3 linked regions of the Caenorhabditis elegans genome follow. The protein of the gene in region 1 purifies or fractionates together with the protein of each later gene. This does not show direct contact. Each region holds a gene or a part of one and is shown in the gene's direction. Other genes may lie near its edges.

Region 1 (7,062 bases):
TCACCGACTTCGAATTTGCATTGTTGTAGCTGAAAAACAAAGTTCAATCAAAACGAATTTAATATTGGAGATATTATTTCCGAATTCAAATAAAATTCTAATGGTTCCGTGGTGTCAAAAATCACATACAGTTTTGTTGTCATCAATGCCACGCTCTCCATTCGTCGTGTTTCCCACATCGCGTAGAATGTATCTTGGCGAGCCGCGGTCTGCCTGCACAATAGCGAAATCGAATGTGGTGCCCTTTCTTCTAGCGTCCGGATTCACTTCTTTGATTAGACTGGTCAATTCACGCAGAGAACAGTCCATCCTGAAAATAAAAAAAATACTTCAGGTTAACCAAACTTACAAGTTTGAATGTATTATTGAAAATATTAGACAAAAGTTCTATAATTTCGGCCAAATAGTACTAATTTTTCTATTTCTACCGCGTACCAAGTATGCATTTGAAGTTCGCTGGGTGGAACAGATCCTCCATTTCTACTATTGTACTCGCTCATCGGATTATGACGATTATTAGCAACGAAGACGCGAAGAAGCATCGGACATACTTTCTCACGATCTAATGGTTTATCGTGACCAACTGTCACCTGAGACACGAGTTGACCGTTGCTCATTTTTCTGAAAAAAAAAGATAAATTTGCTCTAAAAAGGGATAATATAAAATATATTTGTTTGGTTATACAGAAAAAAGAGAAAAAAGAAGCAAAACGCCAAAATTTGCATTCGAATGTTTGTGGGCGGAGCGTTCTTTGCAACCCTGGCACACAAGATTTGCAGATATGCCGCGCGCAGATGACATTCTCCTATTTTATTTCGATTTTCACCGCAAATCTTTCTCCGACATTTCCTTGTCGCAAAGTTAACCAACTCAACTATTTTTATCAATTATTGAATTTAAAGTGTTTTTTTCGTTCAATTTTTAAAATTGGTCACTTTCCACGCGGGAGTCCGCTTTACCTTCTCGAAAAATCAATAACGTTTTCCAAAATAATTTCTATTTTTTCAGGCCATAGAATGGGCCAACATGGGGCAATTAGGCTGCAGAATGAAGTTCAGGAAGGAATGGTAAGTATTTATTGATTTTAAAATAGTTTAATTAAAAGTAAAATGATTTCTATTATAAATTTTTATTTTCAGCCCCCTCCACACGAGCTAACAGAAGAAGAACAATGGGCAGAGGAGCACCGAAAAATGCACGAAAAGCATAAAGGACACGAAGCGATGCACATGGAAATGATGGTTATTTTCATGATTTCTGTCATCGTTGGACAGATTTTTCTGGTCACCTGGAAGAGGAAGCATTTTAAATCTTATCAGGTATTTAATTTTATTAATTTTAAACATTTATTTAATATTCAAACATTTACAGATGTGTACATTAATAGGAATGCTCACAATTCCAGTTTATGTTTGTTTCAACCGATCCTGGTATCGATTCCTGGCCACGTGGCTTGTTTTCTGCATTTTTTCAGCTTTTATTTGGTTGAAAGCCTCGGCTCAACATATCAGTGGAGGAACACCAAGGTTTTTAAGAATAAAAAAGACGAATTAAACGAAATAATTTAAGATTCGTCTACAAATGGTTTCTATTTTTGCATAAACTGAGTTATGTACTCGGAGTTGTTGGATATTTGATCATGATGGGAGCTTTATTAGGATTTCATGTTTTATTCGGAGTTTCACAGCCAACACTAATGGATGCCGGTGAGAAATTTTGGAAAAATTTTGAAAAAATCTAATTTTCAAGCTTCCAGGCATCCTTTTCATGTTCTATGGTGTGTATTACGGAGTGCTCGGCCGGGATTTTGCTCACATTTGCACGGCGAGAATGGCGTCGAGAATCGGGGTAAAATACATTTTTCACCTGCTGCCGAAAAATAATCAATATAATTCCAATTTTTCAGTATTACACTCCTGAAGGACTTCCTAAAAAGCATCTAGAAGACGGTGTCTGTGCTGTTTGTGGAGGACGTCTTGATGATTCGGAACATGTTCATGATGCAGATGCTGTGGTTACAACGAAAATGGTTGAAGATGAAGATGAAAAATTGTATAAGTGAGTGGAGAAGTTCAGCAGATTTTTGGAATTTTCACTTTTTTTAATTAAAAAAAAGAATTAATAAGTAGTTTTCCAGTTTTCTTCGAGAATCACCAGAAAGCACCAAATTTTTAAAAACTGATATTATGAAGCTTTTGAACGAATTTTCATCGATTTTTCCACAGTTTTTCGTGAAATTTTTTATTTGATAATTAAAAATTCAAATATACGAATAAAAGTTACACAGAAAAATAAAATCAAGACCTCCGAGAAATTTTTTTTTGCGTTGGCACGGTGCCAGGTCCGGAAAACGTAGATCCGGAATTCCACCAGATCTTGAATCCGTGGTGCCTCAATAAATAAAATTTGATTAACATTTTTTTGTTGAAAAATTGACGAAAATCCGGTGCACCAGAAATTTAAAATTTACAGTACTCTTTAAAGGCGCGCACCCTTTTGCATTTAACAAAGTAAATCGACACATGAGGCTAGAAAGCTCTTGTTAAACTTAAAATCAATAATTTCAGACTCTCATGTGGCCACGTTTTTCACGAATTCTGTATCAGAGGATGGGTAGTTGTTGGAAAACTTCAAACATGCCCGTATTGCAAAGAACGTGTCGATTTACAGAGAATGTTTAAAAATCCGTTAGTTTTTTGAAAAAATCAAATTTAATTATAAATTCTTTAAAAATTTTCAATTTCAGATGGGAGAAACCTCATTTATTCTATGGAAAATTGCTTGACTGGATCCGTTATCTCGTCTGCTGGCAGCCATTGATTGTAACAGCTGTTCAAGGACTCACCACATGGATGGGATTGGAATAGGAATCTTTTTATTTTAATTTTTACTTATTTATTTTTATTTAATAATTTCTAACTGCATCCCAAAGTTATCAAATAGTCACAAATACACACAAAAATTGTCATTCCAATTGCATTTTTATTCTCGTTTTTTCATTTTTTCTCGTTACTTCTTTTTTGCCGGGCACCGGGTGATTTTTCTGATTTCTTTGAAAAAAAAATTACGACTTTATTTATTCTTCCTGTTTAATTTTTATTTCCAATTCCCGTTCACAGCGGTGTTTTATATCTGAAACTGTATCCTTTGGATTCTTTTAATTGGAAAAATAAAATAAAAAAGTTTTTAGATGGCATCAAAACGGCATGTAGGATTAAATATTCGGAAAAAAGATGAACCGAAAGCTGCTCCAATTCGAGTTTCCAGTGTTTTTGGAGACGATGATGATGATGATAATGTGGTAAAATTCAGAGAAGTTTGAAAAATTTAGTGTAGGAGAAAAAGTTTTCAAACAACAAAGAAATGACCGAAAATTATCAAAAATAATTTTTTCCTACTAGCAATTTTAAACATTTTTAGTTTTTGACTATTTTTCGATTTAGAAAAGCTTTTATAAATTTCTGAATTATAAATTTCTTACTTTTCAGCCAGCCACAGCTACCAATATGGCATCAGCTTCAGTTATTCGTGTGCAAAAAGCAGCAGAACGAGAACATCAAAAGGCAGAAGCCGAGGATCCGACGATTTTCGATTATGACGGGAATTACGATGAAATTCAGGCGATTAAGAATGAAAAAGTGAGGGCTCGAAAAGTTGAAAATCGAAAAAAAAAATACTAAAAATAAAACGAAAAAGTGTAGATTTTAAAACCATTAACAAAGAATTTTCGATAAGAAAATATGAAAAAAAAATTTTCAACAAATAAAACAATTTATATAATAAGTTTCCACTAACAATTTTGATATTTTTTTAAATCTAAAAAATGGACAAGAATAAACGAACATTTTCGATTTTTCGGGTTTTTAGAGAATCGAAAATTTTTCGTTAAAAAAGAAAAAAAAACACATCTTTAACCAAAAATGGTTTGTTTCAGAAGTTTCAGTATTTTTAGGCTGAAAAATTCAACTAACAGCTTTGTTTTTGCAGAAAGAAGAAGCTCGAAAAGCGGACAAAAATCGTGAATCGAAATACGCGGAGAACATCATTAAAGCCCATGCTCGTCGCCAACTCGAACAATTTTCTCGTGAAGAACGCCAACAACTCAGAGAACGAGAGAAAGAAGGCGATGAATTTGATGATAAAGAAGTTTTTGTAACTGGAGCATACCGTAAGCAACAGGAAGAAGTGAAGAAACATCGGGAACAAGAAGCTGAAGAAGCTGCTTTTAATGATATGACAAGTGTTCAGAAACAGAAATTATGGGAAATTGGTATGGGAAGGACGCTTTTAAACGATTTGGCAAGAGATCCTACAGCTATTAAACAGAGGAAGAAAGAGCAGAAAAATGTGAGAAAACGGGAAGATTCTGATGAAGAAATTGATCCGAAACCGGAAAAATCGGATAAGAAACCAGCCGAAAAGCTTAAAAAATCAATTTATTCCGATGATTCTGACGAGGAAAAAGCACCAAAACCTCCACAAAAAAATTTCGAAGGAGATCTTAAACCTGGCCTGAATACGGTATCAAAAAAAAAAGCAACGACTCACGCAGAGAGAATCCGTCAGCGAAACTACACTCCAACACCTCCATCTTCAGATGATGAAGGTGCAAGAGCTCCACGAGCTCGGAGAAGGACTTCAAGCCCGTCACCAACTTCAAGGAAGTCCATAGAATCGAGAGAATCAGGGAGTAGAAGATCGCCTGAAGGGAAATCTGAAAAATCTGAAAAAGCGCCGAAAATCTCGCTTAAAGATAAGCTGAAGCCGAAGAAAATCGATAAAGAAGCAAGATTAGACGGACTCAAAGAAATTCTGAAGCAGCGGAATACAGAAGAAGATATTGAGGCAGCGAGGCAAAGATATTTCGAGAGAAAGGAGCAAGGAATTGTTGTACCTCCATTGTAAAATTTAATTTTTATTTATTTTTTCTTTGTTTGTTTTTTTCAATTGCTGGTTAAAATTCCAATCTCCCAATTTTCCAATTCCAGACCTAATGAAATATCCAATTTCAATTTCCAATGTTCATTTTTTAAAAACTTCTATGGTTATCTCTACCATTTTTATATATTTTAATACGTGATTTCAGAGAGAATTAAATAAGGAATTTCAGAGTTCGGAGCCAATGGCGTCGGAGACGAAAGCTCCATCCGAGGAGCCCACGAGCTCCAGTAATAAAGATGAATCTGCGAGGTAAATTTAGAAAAAAATCGATGTTTTAATCGTTAGACATAACAAATGACCGGAAATTAAAAAAACGAATTTTTATTGATTAATTTTTTTTGAGAAATCTAAAATTACATATTTTCTGTTTTTTTTTTTTAATTATTTTTCCGAATAATTTCTCTATTTTTGCTGTAAATTTTCAAAAAACGGCAGTTTATCTAAATACTTTTACGACACTTTAAAACATCCGAAAAACTACGAATTAACCAGAAATGTTTTGATTTTAATGAGAACAGATTCAAAGATAACCGAAAATTATTTTTAAAAAAGGAGTTTTCCGGAAAATCAACAAGAAACCGAAATACGAGAAAAAAAATCCGACAGAAAATATTACAGTTATTTTCAAAAATTTCAAAAAAAGTAGGAAAAACGAAAATGGCCTAAGTTTTGAATTTACAAGCAGTATGTCTTCAAAAAAAAGTTATCAAAACTAATAATTTTCCCGAAAAATTGACAAAAAAATCGAAGAATTTTAAAAACTGACTCTTTTCAAATTTTTCGTATTTTCACCGTTTCTAAAAATACAAGTTTCCAGAATTTCCAAAATTTAATAATCGTAATTTTGCAGATTTGAATGTAATATTTGTTTGGACGCAGCAAAAGATGCAGTCGTTTCCCTATGTGGACATCTTTTTTGTTGGCCATGTCTGAGTCAATGGCTTGATACTCGTCCAAATAATCAAGTTTGTCCAGTGTGTAAAAGTGCAATTGATGGGAATAAAGTTGTACCGATCTATGGAAGAGGTGGCGATTCATCGGATCCACGTAAAAAAGTTCCACCACGTCCAAAAGGACAACGAAGTGAACCACCACCGGTATGCACTACTCATGCACTGATTAACACTTCTGAACTACTTAAAAAAAGACATTATGCTATTTTTTTCAATTTTCTCATCATCATCATCAAATTTTACTTTTTTTTAAATGAAAAAAAGAAGAAAAATTTCACATGATTATAACAAAAAGACCGGTTTTATTGGAAAGTGTTTTCTATAATTTTAACCGAATTTTTCTTAAATGTTCGGCAAATATAGTTTTATCGGAAATTAATGTCTCTTTCAAACACATAATTTCTTTTTTAAATAAATAATAAAAAGAGAAAAAAGAAAACAATTGCTAAAGGAAATTTTTAAGCCAAAAACACGATAAAAAGCCAAGTGTTTTTAAACATAAATTTTTCAAAAAAAAAAAAAAAATTTTCGAACTTTTTAGAAAGCTGACAAAATGTTTGCTTTTTGCACAATTTTTCTTTAAGAAAAAATAACCAATTTATAATTTATTAAAAAATCTAAATAAATACCAAAATAATCCCAAAAAGCGCATAACACACACACACCCAAAAACTAACAAAATCTCGAAAACCCTCTTTCAGCAATCATTTGCCGGTTTCAATTGGGGTGGCGATGGCGGAATGATGGGCGGCGGCGGACCAAATGTGCATTTTTCATTTGGAATTGGTACGGTGAATGGTCTGTTCCCGTTGATGTTCATGCTACCTTTCATTCAAGGCATCTTCCCATTGTCATTTGTTGCTTCATTCTTTGGAAATGGTAATCAAGGAGCAGCAGCAGCTGGTGGTGGAAATGGTGGAGGAAATGACGGAAATGATGGTACACATGCACATACTCATGGACATACACATGGTAATTAGAGTTTTAGGGAAAATTCCAGATTTTTCGATTATTTTTGAAGAAAAATCAGAAAAATCCAAGAAAAAAGTTTTTTTTCTATTAAAGAATTAAAAAAAAAGAACTTATTTAAATTTGTTTTTTTGATTTTTACATTTTTTAAATAGGAAAATTCTAAAATTCTGAAAAAATTTACTAAAAAAATACGAG
Region 2 (7,062 bases), on another chromosome or scaffold:
ACGTCAAATTTGTTGGGCAAAAACATCCCGCACTTTTTGTAGATCAAGCCGTAATGGGACAGCCTGGCACCACGTGCGGCGGTAATTCGATTATTTCACAATTGCCGAAATTTTTCTTGACTTGTCAAAAATTTCACGTGGTGTCAGGTGCGGTTTGATCTACAAAAAAATGTGGGAATTTTTCCATGTGCCGTCAGCACAATCTTAACCATGTGATATCAGTTGCAAAGCCTGCGCCTCTTCTCCCGCATTTTCCGAAGATCAAACCAAAATGGGGCACTTTGACAGAATTTTGGGGTCAAAACTTTAGAAAAACGTTTTCGCTGGAGCGCACTTACATCATAATATGTTCCGAAGATTTTGGAGGCGACGAAGATAATTGGGACGAGGATGAATGTGACGAGGGAGAGGCGCCACGAAAGCTTCATCATGAAGATCATCGATCCAAGGAGCATAACGCAGTTTCTGGAAGAATTTGGGAAAATTAGGTCATGTGATCTGGGAACTTCGGTCACGGACCCACACCTACCTGAGGAAAACGTTAACATTCAACGCAACTGTATCCGACATAGTCTGACAATCAGCAGCCAGACGAGAAGTCACCTCTCCGGTCTTGTGAGCATCATAGAAAGCGACATCCTGTTTCACGAGTCCGTGGAACAAATCGTAGCGGATTGCCCTCTGGATCCTTGCGTAGGCGTACTCGAAGGATCCTCCACGGAATCCGGCGGCGACAGCGCTCACCAACGAGATGATTGTCATGATGTAGACAGCGTTGGAGAGGGCTGGGTACGATTTTGTGGCGACCACGGTAGCGATGACTTGTCCCGTGTAATAGGGAACGAAGATACGGGCTGAAAATTGGGGTTTTGGAGTGGGTGCGTGGCCTAGAAATCTTAAAAACTCTTCCACTTGTGTTTTTTTTTAAATTCGAAACAAAAAACCCCCGATGGATATTCTCTTACTGATCGAATAAATAAAGAGCCACGAGAATCCGGAAATATGCCAGAGCCATTCACGTTTGCAGTATTGGAGCAGGCGGAAAATAAGCTCAAACGTTTGTTTTGGAGCCACCTCGAGCTGAAAATCGTGGGGGTGATCAAAACATTTTCTCAGCGGAGCGCACTTACATCCTCATCCTCCAGAATTATATATGAAGACGGAGTTCGCGAGAAGTATCTTGTCCACGAGGAGTTCAAAATGATCGCGGAAATGAAATTCCAGACAAGGAAGGCAGTGTCGCCGAAAGTGAGGAACTCATCGGGCTTCAGCTTTTCTGTGAGGAGGAGCAATTTTGTGGGGCTCGCCGCGCAGATGAGCAGTGCCGAGCAGAAAATTGGCTGAAAATTTGAAATTTTCGGGATTTCTAGGCCACGCGGCCACCGACCTCTTTCCACATTGTCAACGTGTCCGCCTTGTTGGCCACGTGGATTGCCGCCGGCACCATCCATAGTGCAAAACGGAAAAATTGCAGCAAGAATAGGTCGATTGTGCTGGAAAAATTGTTGGGTTTGGTGGTTTTTCTATTGGAAATTTGAATTTTTGACTTTTTTTTTACTGTCTTCTTTCGATGAATTGCTTCAAAAACGCGTACTTTTTCACGGGGTTCTGGCCTTCCTCATTGGATTTTTTGCGCTCCATTGACAATCACCTAGAGGACAACACGTGGGAAAGTCGTGTACTCCACACGGGCAAAAACATTTAGTTTTCCAACTAAAATCGCGTCGCGACACGCAACGCGCCGTAAATCTACCCCAGATATGGGCGAGCCAAAGTGGCCTAGTTCGGCAAACTCTTCCATTTCAATTTACGGGGGAGGCCAGAAATCCGTGTTTTTAAATTTCTCACTTTTTTTTCAAAATTTTACAGCAATTTCGCTCTACTGCACTCGTTCCACTGTCTCGCAGCGATTTTGGCTGGAAACTTCAAATTTTCATCAAAGTTTGAAAAGTGAAATTTTCTGGAAACCCGCTTTTTCATAAATCTTATTTTTAGCGTCAAAACTACGGTGCCCGGTCTCGACACGACAAGTTTTTGTTTTAATAAAAACGGGCGTGCGCCTTTAAAGAGTACTGTAAGTTCAAATTTTCGTTGCTTTGTTGAAAATACGCTTAGCAACTAAAGTTTGAAACTGCAGTACTCTTTAAAGGCGCACACCCGTTTTATTTAATGAAAATATGTCGTGTCGAGACCACCGAATATCGTTATTATAAGAAGTTATGGGAGAAATTCCAAAATTTTAGTTTCAACGTTGTGAGACCCAAGGACTGTGGAGCGTAGTTGCAAAAAATCATTAAAAATTTTTTTTTGCAACTGCGCTCCACTGTACTTGGGTCTCGTAACGTTAGTTTTTGGCGGGAATTCAAAATTTTTTGCAGTTTTCTATATTTTTACACACTGAAAATTAGAATTCCAGCGAAAATGACACTCGGCTTCAATTTTCATTTTTCGTGGCCTAAAATTAACTCGGCCACCAATCAATCGAACCTCGTAAAAAACGAAAAATCGCCAAATTGCGAAGTAAAATTCGCGAATTTGAAAGTTCCATCATGCAGGCAGGCGAACAGTAGGCACGCCAAAAAATCGATCGACGCCAGAATGAGTCCCCATGAGAAACGGGAAGCCACCGTCGAATTCATGGCAAAAAAAAGCAGGGAGAAGAAGTTGCGATGAATTGAGTTGGGCAGGCAGTGTGAGCTTATCAGTGAATTGATAATCAGTGGAGAAAATTGATCAACGATGGGAACTGATAAAATAATATAATGCACCGTCCGTTTAAAGTCAAAAATTGCAAATTTTTTCATAGAGCACACACACAAATACTTCTAGAAAATGAGGAGGGAAAAAGTACATTCTAACGAAGGAATACACGAGGATTCGGGGGGAAAATCGATAAATCGATAATTTTTATGGGGAATTTATTTATTATTGATGAGTCGATTGGCCACTGTGTTCACGCTTGATGGGACGTTCTCGATTGTGGTGAATACCTGAAAAAAATTGAGTTTGAAATTGTTGGAAATGCGCTCCACTGCACTAGCTTGGGTCTCGCAGCGAAATCGCGTAAATTTGAAATTCCGGTGAAAAAAAACGGCAATTTCAGGTATTTTCTATGCTTTTTGAGTGGGAACTTGGAGAAAAGTGCGATAGAGCGCGTTTGCATTATTTTCGGATAATGTTTGAATTTCCTACAATATTTCTGGTCTCGCAGCGAAATCGTCGGAATTTTGCTAATGTCTGTAATTTTCTACGCGAAATTTTGAAAAAAAAGTGCCATGGAGTGTGCTTGCATTTTTTTTAAAAACAATTTCAGAATTTTCTCTGAATTTTGGACTAAAAATTGCGTTTTGCATTATCTTTCCTACAAAACCAGAAGTTTAAGACTTTTCGAGTCAGAAATTGGAAAAAAGTGCGATGGAGCGTACTTGCATTTGGTTAATTTTTGACGTGGAATTTTTTTTGAATTTCGCTTTTTGTGAAAAAAAGTGTTTTGCATTATTTTCAGCAATTTTCTCCAAAATTTGTGTCTTTTTGTCATATTTTTCCTAGTTTTAGGCACTTTTTTCGACGTTTAGCTCTGAAATTTGACTAAAAATGACTGAAAATTTATATTTTTCAATTTTTCAGATAGATTTTTGAAATTATGGAATTTCTTGAACGTTCGGCGCCAAATCTCCATTTTCCAGGACTTTTTTCCAACTTTCGCAGCAATTTTTCCGTGTTTCCTCTCAAAAATGCAGCCTACCGAGTCAACAGCACTGTTCCACTTTCCACCGGCCTTCAGCTGCACATCTTCGACTGTTGGGAGCTGAAAATAAGAAAAAAATTGCATTTTCAGAGAAAAAATCGATAAAACCTGCTCTGGAAAGACGACGGTGCCGGGAAGAATGTACTTTTTAAGCTTTTGATACAGTTCGCTGCCCTGAAAATGAAAATTTTCGTGGAAAAACGGGGGAAAACTAATACTTTAACATTGTTAGTCGACCAAATATCGTTATCGATTGACAGTTTGACGGCGCCGGCGACGAGTCCAACTTTAATTCCGAGTTTTGCAGTTTTCCACAAGAATCCCATGTTGCCGACCTGAAAATTCGAATATTTTGTGTGAAAAATCAGTTATTTTGCAACAAGACGTGAAAAATAAATAAAAAATCACAAATTCAAGAAGAAAAGTTCAGAAAAACTGAAAAAAAATCGGAAAAATAAAATGAACGTCGCGCGCACGAGAAATGCGCAAGCAAATCGAGACTCGCGTCAGAGCACGAGAAACGCGCCAGCCTCGTCTGCGTTTCTCTTCTCACAATGCTCTCTCTCACTGAAATAAGCTTATAAGCTTAAAAGTCTGCAAATCTTTAATTTGGCGAGGGATAATCGAAAATTTAAGCTCACAGATGCCTAGAAAATTAAATTTTAAGTAGATTATATTAAAATTTCATAAAAATAATGATAATTAACGGTATTTATTAAAGTTTTAGATTTCATCAAATTTTCAGACTATACTATAGTCTTGCAATTTTCAAAGAATTTTTCCTGCAAAAAACAAGTACAAAGCATTGATCAAATTAACACTATCAAGTTGACAGTGTCAACGTTTAATCCCCCAGCAGTATTTCCCTTAAATTGATCACTGCACTTTTCGTTATCACCACGAGCATCATAAATTTTTTTACTTATTTAAAATTCCGGTTTCTGATGCACCATGGTCAACTCGCCGGTTCCTGTCCGATTTCTGGTACTTTTTGAACTCAAAACCCCCGGAAAATTGAATTTTCACGATTTTTTTGCAGATTTTAATATGTGCCACACTGTGTTTGACCTCGATTCTTTCAAATATGAATACTTATAATTTTACAAAAATTTGTATGCAAGATGATAATAGTACTTCAACTTCAAAAGGTTTTTTTTTTAATTCGGTGGCCGAGTTTTTCCATTGGCGGCCGCCAAAATAGTTGATTTTTTCAGTGAACTATACCAAATCAGAGTCGAATTTTCTTCAATCGTGTGTGGCTATTGGAAGTCTTGCCGCCTCGATTCCATTTTCCATTTCTTTTCAACATTTGCCGCATAAACCTGTCTTCATTGTCGCCGGAATTATTTCGGGAGGTATGACGTCAATCGTGGCCGCGAAAAAAAAAAATATCGGTGGCCGAGTTTTCTGTAGTTTTTATTTGTTTCGAGAAAACTGACTAATTTCTATAGACTAATTTTATAAAAACTGTGCATTTTGTCGTCAGATCCAGTGCATGCGTATTTTCAAAGCTACAGTACCCCAAAAAGCATGCATCGAAAGCATACAAAATTTTTGAAATTGATCGTCAAATATGGTGTATTGCACAGTGGGCGTTGAATTTGACGCGCAAAACAATAATCTGATTTTTCGAAACAAAAACATGGTGCATGAAGCACAAAAAATTGTGAAAAATTCCGCGTAAGCACGTGGTGTCAGGCTGTCCCATCACGGTTTGATCTACAAAAAATGCGGGAATTATTTGCCCGAAAATATGTGACGTCAGCACGTTCTTAACCATACGAAATCAGTTGAGAACTCTGCGTCTCTTCTCCCGCATTTTTTGTAGATCTACGTAGATCAAGCCTAAATGAGACACTCTGATACCACGTGCGTAAAATACTGAATTAAGTATTTAAGAATCATATTTTACGCGCAAAATAAAACAGATTTCACGAATTTTTCTGAAATTAAAAAAAAATTATCGATTTTTCAAAAATTATTGACATTTATTGTCCGAGAGGAGTACACCAAGCATCATTAGAGCGCGTTTCCATTTTTTAAATTTTAAAATTGCGCGTCAAATATGATGTATTGCACTCAATTTTTCCAGTTTCAACAGCCCTTATCCCGTTGGCAAGTACCATTGGCTACGGATGGTTTGTGGCCGCCCGTATTTGTCAAGGAATGGCATTTTCAGCCACATTTCCCCTCGCTGGCTCAATTACAGCAAATTGGGCGACCCCATACGAGCACGGAGTATTCATTGGCCTATTAACCGGAAATACACAACTTTCAAATATATTTACAATGCCAGTTTCGGGATGGTTATGCTCTTCGTCTGGTGGATGGACGTCGGTTTACTATGTGCACGCCGGTGTATCGTTGGTCACTTTTTCGCTGTTTTTCCTATTTTTCAAGTGCTCGCCGAGTGAGCACAGTTGGGTTGGCGAGAAGGAATTGGAGAGGATTCGAGAAGGGAAATCGGGAAAGAAAGTGAGTGCAAACGCGCTCTACCGGACACAAATTATAACTAGATTTTGGAGCGGAAAAAAACCTGAAATTGTACCACGTATCATTTTTGAGAAAAACGCGCCCGAAGGACTACGGAAAGCCCAAGCCTAAGCGCACGTGGTGCCTGGCTGTGCTATTACGGTTTGATCTACCAAAAATGCGGGAATTTTTGCCCCAAAAAATGTGACGTCAGCACACTCTTAACCATGCGAAATCAGTAGAAAACTCTGCGGCTCTTCCCCCGCATTTTTTGTAGATCTACGTAGATCAAGCCGAAATGAGGCACTCTGACACCACGTGTAAGCCTAAGCCTAAGCCTAGGCCTACGCCTAAGCCTATGCCTTAGCCTATGCCTAAACCTAGGACTGAATTAGTGGGTTCCTCGGGGTACGCAATTTGTCGACAATTAAGACGTTCCCTCATTAGTATGAGAAAATCCCAAATTTTTCTAAAACTGCTAGCAAGGTAAATGGGTTTCATGTACGCAAATTTGCTTCAACTTCAAGATTTTTTACATGAGAGTAACCGAGTTTTCAAAACCTCGGCCACCACATCGCATTGCATGGCCTAACTTTTCACGGGCTTCGAATTTCCCCCATGTTTTCAAATGGAAGAGGTGGCCGTGAAAAAAGCGAACCTCGACCGGGGGTCGCGACCTGCGACAAACAGGAAAACTCAAAAAAAGTAGCGACAGTACGAAATTTCTTTGAGTTTTCCCGTTTGTCGCGAGTCGCGACCCCCGGTCGAGGTTAGCTTTATTCACGGCCACCTCTTCCATTTGAAAACATGGGGGGGGAAATTCGAAGCCCGTTACTTTTTCG
Region 3 (7,062 bases), on another chromosome or scaffold:
GACATTTTTGATGTCTAAAGTGAATTAAGACTAAAAATTTCATCTTCTACGCTAAAAATGTCTTATATTTTGCGTTTTTTGCACTAAAACTGGCTATTTTTGGTAAAATTCAAAAATTGTCAGTTTTTAGTCGAAATATCCGCAAAATTATACACTTTTTTCAAAAAAAATTGCCGATTTTTCAGGTAAATTGCCAGAAATCGCACGAATTCACGGATTTCTGGCTTCCCTTATAAATTGAAATGGAAGAGTTTTTGCCGAACTAGTCCAGGCCACCATATCTGGGGTAGATTTACGGCGCGTTGCGTGTCGCGCCGCGGCTCGATTTTAGTTGTAAAACTAAATGTATTTGTCCGTGTGGAGTACACGACTTTCCCACACGTTTTCCGGCGGGCGATTGTCAATGGAGCGCGAAAAATTCAATGAGGAAGGTCAGAACCCCGTGACCTCAAAAACCTCAAAAAAAAGTCTATTTTTCGCAAATTTAGTTGTAAAATTCCCGAGAAAATTGGATTTTTCAGTTAAAAACCCGGATTTTTGCCAAATTTTCAATTAAATATCGATTTTTTTCAGACGACGATTTCGGGTGTGACTATGACGACGATGAAGAGGAGGAGGACGAGGACGAATGCGGCTCGGACTATAATGATGATGACGAGGATTCGGGACAAGGAGAAAATTAGTCAATTTTTTTTAATTTTCTATAATTTTTTCCCCATTTTTTTTCTCAATTTTCTCAATTTTCCAACCTAGAAAAATTCAAATTCATATCAAATATACCACGAAATCTTGGCGCTTCTTTCAAACAAAAAATCTTCAAAATCCGACTCAACTAGTCCTTTTCTCAATGCATTTATATGTACACTTTTGCCCTTCCCAAGCAGCTATCAATTCATATTTGTGTTATACTCAATATTTTTTCGTCTGGAAACAGTTTTTTTTGTCCAATTACACACACACACAGGCTGATCACAGTGCACTTTCAACTATTTTTGTTTTCTATAAATGAAGCCTTCTTTTTTCTAAATTGTCTCGGAAAATTGCAGATTTAGAGTTGAATTCTCAAAAAATAAGTCGATTTAATCCGAAAAAAACATTTTTTTCGCAAGTCTGCATTTTTGCGTCACGGTGTTTGCGGACACTGTAGAAAATAATTTTTTTTGAAGCAAAATCGCAATTTTAACGCATTTTTCTCTTGATTTTAACATATTTTTACTCTAAAAACCCGTGAAAGTAATATTTTTTCTCAATTTCAGCACTCTAGAAAATGAGCAAACGACAGAATCCCGCCGAATTCCTGAAGAAAGTCATCGGAAAGCCGGTTGTGGTGAAGCTCAACTCTGGCGTCGACTACCGTGGCATTCTCGCATGTCTCGACGGGTTAGTGATTGGGAAAAATCAAAAAATCTGATTAAAAACACCTGAAAATTAATTTTTCTTCCAGAAAAATTACGAAAAAATCTAATTTTTCAGATATATGAACATCGCGCTCGAACAAACCGAAGAATACAGCAACGGACAACTTCAGAACAAGTACGGCGATGCGTTCATCCGCGGGAACAATGTGCTCTACATCTCCACATCGACGAAATAACTTTTTTTTGATTTCGATTTATTTTCCAAATATTTTTCCCTTTTTTGAGCTATTTTGAGCAAATTTCTTGTTTGATACGTTTGGATCTCGAATAAATTTGTGTTTTTTTTTTCGCCGAAAATCTGAGTTATTTCGCTCGAAAACAGGCTTTTTCAGCAAAAATCGAGAAATTTCTTGGGTTTCCTCACCGTTAGACGCGTCGCGGTCATGCGTCACGTGCGGTGGGTCTCACCACGATTCGATTTACGGGGAAGCATTTTCGAAAAAAAGAAGACATTTTTAAGTCAATTTATCGCGTTTTCATCGATTTTTCGAGCTTTTCCGGTGATTTTTTCGATTTTTCAACTCAAATTTCGAATTCTACGTATTTTTGTGCCACTTTCACTGCAACAATCGCAATTTTCAGACAATTTTCAAAAGGATAATGCCACCCGGACCACTTCCCGCCTTAGTAAGTTGATTTTTTTTTTGATTTAAAAACTGATTAACTTTTGCTCTCCGAGTGGTAAGTGATAATTTGTAATGATATGCGATCACACTAAGGCTAAACCGCCTTGCGATGATCTTTCCACCCGCACTGGAAAAGGAGAATTAGGCGGTTTTCTGCCGCCCGATATGTGATCGCACATTTCAAATGATACCATTCAAAAACTATACCTAATTTCATAGTGAAAAGACCAAAAGAAGATAAAGAAGAGCAAGAGAGAGAGAGACGTCGCACGAAATCCATCAGTCTTCTGTCCCCCCATCGATTTTCCGAAAATTGAAAAAAAAACAGTTAGTTTCAAAGTTTGAGCGTTTGTGTGCTCATTTTGTGCTCGTTTCTAGCCTTAAAATTTCGAATTTTCCATCAAAAAACTCATTTAATTTCAGATGAAAAGCGAATGGCTCAAGTGTCCGCGATGTAAGACGAAACAGCTCAAGCCAGAGCTCATCAGCACCGAACCCAATGGATCCGATAATATTTGGTGGATATGTGAGGCTGTTCAGGTAGAAATTCATGAAAAACTGAATTTATATTGGGAAACCAGGCAAAAATCGAGCTAAAAATCGAATTTCAGGTTGTTTTGGCTCGTATGAACGGAGAAAATCAGCTTTTCATAGCAATTTAACTGAAAATTATTGTTTTTTATATCAATTTTCGGTGAATTTCCGATGTTTTCGACGATTTCTCCCCTCAATCACTGGATTTTCACAAAATTAACTAAAAAATTCCGGTTTTATTGAATTTCAAGTTCAAAACTTGAAAATTCTGTGGGGAAATTGCTTTAAAACATGCCTATGGTACCACAATGACCAAATATCATAGTAAATTTTTTTTTTAATTTAGAACATTAAAAAAAATTTTACTATGATATTTGGTCATTGTGGTACCATAGGTATGTTTTAAAGCAATGTCTCCTCAGAATTTTCAAATTTTGAACTTGAAATTCAACAAAACGGACAATTTTTAGTTAATTTTGTGAAAATCGAGTAATTTTGAGGCGGAAAAATCGTCGAAATCATCGGAAGTTCACCGGAAATTGATTTTAAAAAACATTAATTTTCAGTAATATTTCATAATCACGCTCTCCTCAAAGCCGGAGAATTATTAGAGCGCGCTTGCTGCGCTTCGCATTTCTGCATCCGCGGTAATTTGACTTTCCACTGAAAAAAGCAGATATTTCAGATTTATCGAATTTTTAGCTTTTAAAATTTTTTAAATGCATCTTTCGAACAAACCTTTTGTTAAACAGTGAAAATCGAAAAATGACTAAAATGAAATTTTTCGTCCACTGGTTGTGAAATGGTTTGAATTTGAAGAAATCAATGGGATTTTTCTTATTTTCTAAATATTTTTCTATTAAAAATCGGTTTTAACCCATTTTTTTGACCCTAAAAGTCACAAATGTTTTAAAACCGATTTTAATAGAAAAATATTTAGAAAATAAGAAAAATCCCGTTAATTTTTTCAAATTCAAACCATTTCACAGCCAGTGGACGAAAAAAGTTCATTTTAGTCATTTTAAATTCGATTTTCACTGTTTAACAAAAGGTTTGTTCGAAAACTGGAGAAAAATTTTTTTTAAAGCTAGAAAATTCGATAAATCTGAAATATCTGCTTTTTCAGTGGAAAGTCAAAATACCGCGGATTCAGAAATGCGAAGCGCAGCAAGCGCGCTCTAATAATTATTCGGCTTTGAGGAGAGCGTGCATAATTACGACTTTTTTAAAAACTAAAACTGCCGATTTTAATCATTTTTTATTTATTTTTTATTTGCAGAAATGTCAATTCCCAATGGATATGCCTCCACACGTCTATCATGTCGTCCAAACTGCCTTCCAAAAGCGTCAAAAATGCATTCCCCTGCCACGCATTGAGAAGCTTCCCGAGAAATATCAATATCTGTATCCCCTGACGTTCGCCAACTCTCGACCGGTCTCCCGTTGCTCATCAGTGGCTGGAAATTCTGAAAATTCTGAAAATCGAGCCGCCAGAAACTCGTTGGACGGGACGACGACGACGACGACTACGATTTCTGAGAAATCCAGTGGTCAGAATAGGCTAAAAGCTGAAAGTCTTCATTCCGAAACTGTTAATAATACAAATACCCCTTCAACGTCTTGCTCGGCAGAAGCTGAGCTTGAAAATCAGAGTATTGATGATGTGGAAATTGAAGAAGAAGAGGCCGTCAGGCCGTGTAGGACTATTAAGCGACGGCTTAATGATTCTGGAAAATCGTGGGCTTCGTTGATAGAAAAAGTTGCGGCCGACTCGAAAGCGTCGAATACTATTATAAATATGGAGGTGAAAATTTGGAACTTTTGAGCTGAAAAAAATTTGAGTTTTCCCGAATTTTTAAGCGGAAATTTGAATTTTCCTGGATTTTTAAACGGAAATTTGATTATTTCCGAATTTTTTAGCGAAAATTTGAATTTTCCCGACTTTTTAGTTGAAATTTAAACTTTCCCAAAGTTTTAAACGGAAATTTGAATTTTCCCGAACTTTTTAACGAAAATTTGAATTTTCCCGAATTTTTAAATCTAAATTTGATTTTTCTCGAATTTTTAAAAGGAAATCTGAATTTTCCCGAATTTTTAAGCGAAAAATTGAATTTTTCCGATTTTTAAGCGAAAATTTAAATTTTCCGAAATTTTTAATCGATAATTTGAATTTTCCCGAATTTTTTAGTGAAAACTTGAATTTTCCTGGATTTTTCATCGATAATTTGAATTTTCTCGAAGTTTTCAACGGAAATCTGAATTTTCCCGAACTTTTTAACGAAAATTTGAATTTACCCGAGTTTTTAAGCGAAAAGTTGAGTTTTTTTCGAATTTTTAAGCGGAAATTTGAATTTTCTCGAAGTTTTCAACGGAAATTTGAATTTTCTCGAAATGTTTACCAAAAGACTGAATTTTCCCGAATTTTTTAGTGAAAATTTGAATTTTCCTGGATTTTTAGTTGAAAATTCGAATTTTCTCGAAGTTTTCAACGGAAATCTGCGTTTTCCCGATTTTTTAGCAAAAATTTGACTTTTCCCGAACTTTTTAAAGAAAATTTGAATTTTCCCGAATTTTTTAGTGAAAATTTGAGTTTTTCCGAGTTTTTTTAGCAAAAATTTGAAATTTCCCGAATTTTTTAGTGAAAATTTCAGTTTTGCCGAATTTTGGAATGAAAATTTGAATTTCTTCAAAGTTTCCCGTATTTTTGAGCGAAAATTTGAATTTTCCCGATTTTTTTACTGGAAATTTGAATTTTCCCGAATTTTTAGTGAAAATTACACTTTTCCTGGATTTTTAATCGATAATTCGAATTTTCTCGAATTTTTAAACGGAAATTTCGATAATCAAAAAATTGGAAGAAAAAAAAATCGCGATTTTCTGGGTTTTCTGGGTGAAATCCTTCGAATTTTTGCTCAATACTGCGAAAAAAACGCAAAAATTTTCATTAACATCTCCCAAAAATCGATTTTTTTTTTCAGGAATCCGAATTATTCCGTCGTATGCAGGAGTTTTTCGATGCTCACTACTTCCAGCGTACTCCGATGACCTATAAGCGTTCAAGAGCGGCTTTACGGTTGGAAATGCTCAACAAATGGCAAAAAATCGATAATTTTAGACTTCCCTATCGGATAGAAGACATTGAAAATTGTCTACAATCAATAACTCGTGAAGATTGGAAAACTGCCCGACGTCGAATGATTAATTTCACTGTAGAAGAGAAAATGGTGGCGAGAAGTGGAAATGCGGATGAGTTGCTGAAAAGTGTTGGAATTGATTTGCAACAAATTAAGAAAGCTGTCGGAGAGAAAGTTGGCAATGTTATGGTACGGATTGAAGAAGAGGAAAAATGACGAAAATCATGGAAATTTTTGAAAAATTTGGCCGAAAAAACGAAGAAAAACCTAGAAATTTGATTATCCTGCGAAGATTTTGCAAAATTTTAAAAAATTTGGCATAAAAAAACAAAAAAATTCGATAAAAACCCAAAAATTTGATTTTCCTGCGACGATTTTGCAAAACTTTACACAAATTAGCCAAAATTCAAAAATTCGCAGAATCTACATGAAAAAATAATTTTTTTTCTCGAAAAAATTGCTTTAAAACGCGCCTATGGGGTCATAATGACCGAATAGCATGGTAAAACAAATGCAAAAAAATTTTCTAAATTTTTTATGATATTTGAAAATTGAAAAAATCACAGTTTTCCCCCTAATTCCGATTCGAATTTCCGCTAATTGAATTTGTTCGATGGAGTGTGCTTGCATTATTTTCATTAATTTTTTAAAAATTTATTTTCATTATTTCACTGATTTTCTTCATTTTTTGGGCGTTTTTAATCGGAAAATGAAAGAAACATACGGGAAAAATGCAAAATGTTTATTAAAAAGTAACTGAAAATGCCTAAAACTCTGAAATTATACGATCCGACGATGACGAGCCTGAAATAAGTATTATTCACAGTTTTAGGCATTTTCAGTTACTTTTTAATAAACATTTTGCATTTTTCCTGTATGTTTCTTTCATTTTCCGATTAAAAACACCCAAAAAATGAAGAAAATCAGTGAAATAATGAAAATAAATTTTAAAAAATTAATGAAAACAATGCAAGCGCGCTCCAACGAACGAGTTCAATTGGCGGAAATTCAAATAGGAATTAGGGGGAAAACTGAGATTTTTTCAATTTTCAAAAATCATATAAAATTTAGAAAAAAAAATTTTTTTTGAATTTTTTTATTATGATATATTCGGTTATTGTGGTATCATAAGCATGCTTTAAAGCAATTTCAAAAAAATCAAATTTTAAATTTAATTTCCGAAATTTATGGGTTTCTGTTTTCAGACATTTTTCTCGAAATTCGCTGAAAAATACAAAAAATGCCGATTTTTCCTAAAATTACGCAGTTTTCGATTTTTTTTACAAAATTGCCAATTTTCCTACAAAATATTTGAATTTTTCCGATCTTTTAGTCAAAAAAAGTCGAATT

Evidence for each region.
Region 2: the proteins of ccdc-55 (region 1) and W04C9.6 fractionate together in Caenorhabditis elegans (co-fractionation; one large-scale study listed by BioGRID). This does not show direct contact.
Region 3: the proteins of ccdc-55 (region 1) and Y71G12B.13 fractionate together in Caenorhabditis elegans (co-fractionation; one large-scale study listed by BioGRID). This does not show direct contact.

What each region holds. Positions count from the first base shown.
Region 1 is NC_003281.10:4,164,895-4,171,956, reverse strand, and holds ccdc-55 (Nuclear speckle splicing regulatory protein 1 homolog), read left to right. Parts: upstream 1-3,191; coding exon 3,192-3,302; intron 3,303-3,489; coding exon 3,490-3,639; intron 3,640-3,988; coding exon 3,989-4,906; 3' UTR 4,907-5,009; downstream 5,010-7,062. Other genes in the region: C16C10.4 (putative histone deacetylase complex subunit SAP18), read right to left, coding at 1-29, 130-310, 436-617; E3 ubiquitin ligase rnf-121, read left to right, coding at 1,018-1,068, 1,141-1,320, 1,373-1,527, 1,571-1,707, 1,758-1,849, 1,908-2,059, 2,569-2,688, 2,748-2,868; E3 ubiquitin ligase rnf-5, read left to right, coding at 5,124-5,191, 5,793-6,039, 6,597-6,867. UniProt on the Caenorhabditis elegans protein: Required for the cessation of distal tip cell migration at the end of larval morphogenesis.
Region 2 is NC_003279.8:485,628-492,689, reverse strand, and holds the start of W04C9.6 (MFS domain-containing protein), read left to right. Parts: upstream 1-4,297; 5' UTR 4,298-4,699; coding exon 4,700-4,732; intron 4,733-4,787; coding exon 4,788-4,896; intron 4,897-4,962; coding exon 4,963-5,103; intron 5,104-5,840; coding exon 5,841-6,223; intron 6,224-7,062. Other genes in the region: haf-4 (ABC-type antigen peptide transporter), read right to left, coding at 339-465, 530-854, 966-1,080, 1,131-1,340, 1,388-1,493, 2,488-2,639; W04C9.2 (MICOS complex subunit MIC13), read right to left, coding at 2,919-2,990, 3,746-3,808, 3,857-3,922, 3,967-4,074.
Region 3 is NC_003279.8:1,700,105-1,707,166, forward strand, and holds the start of Y71G12B.13 (RING-type domain-containing protein), read left to right. Parts: upstream 1-2,000; 5' UTR 2,001-2,018; coding exon 2,019-2,045; intron 2,046-2,467; coding exon 2,468-2,584; intron 2,585-3,857; coding exon 3,858-4,382; intron 4,383-5,556; coding exon 5,557-5,651; intron 5,652-5,693; coding exon 5,694-5,901; intron 5,902-7,062. Other genes in the region: ubc-3 (UBC core domain-containing protein), read left to right, coding at 574-683; lsm-6 (U6 snRNA-associated Sm-like protein LSm6), read left to right, coding at 1,268-1,380, 1,474-1,594.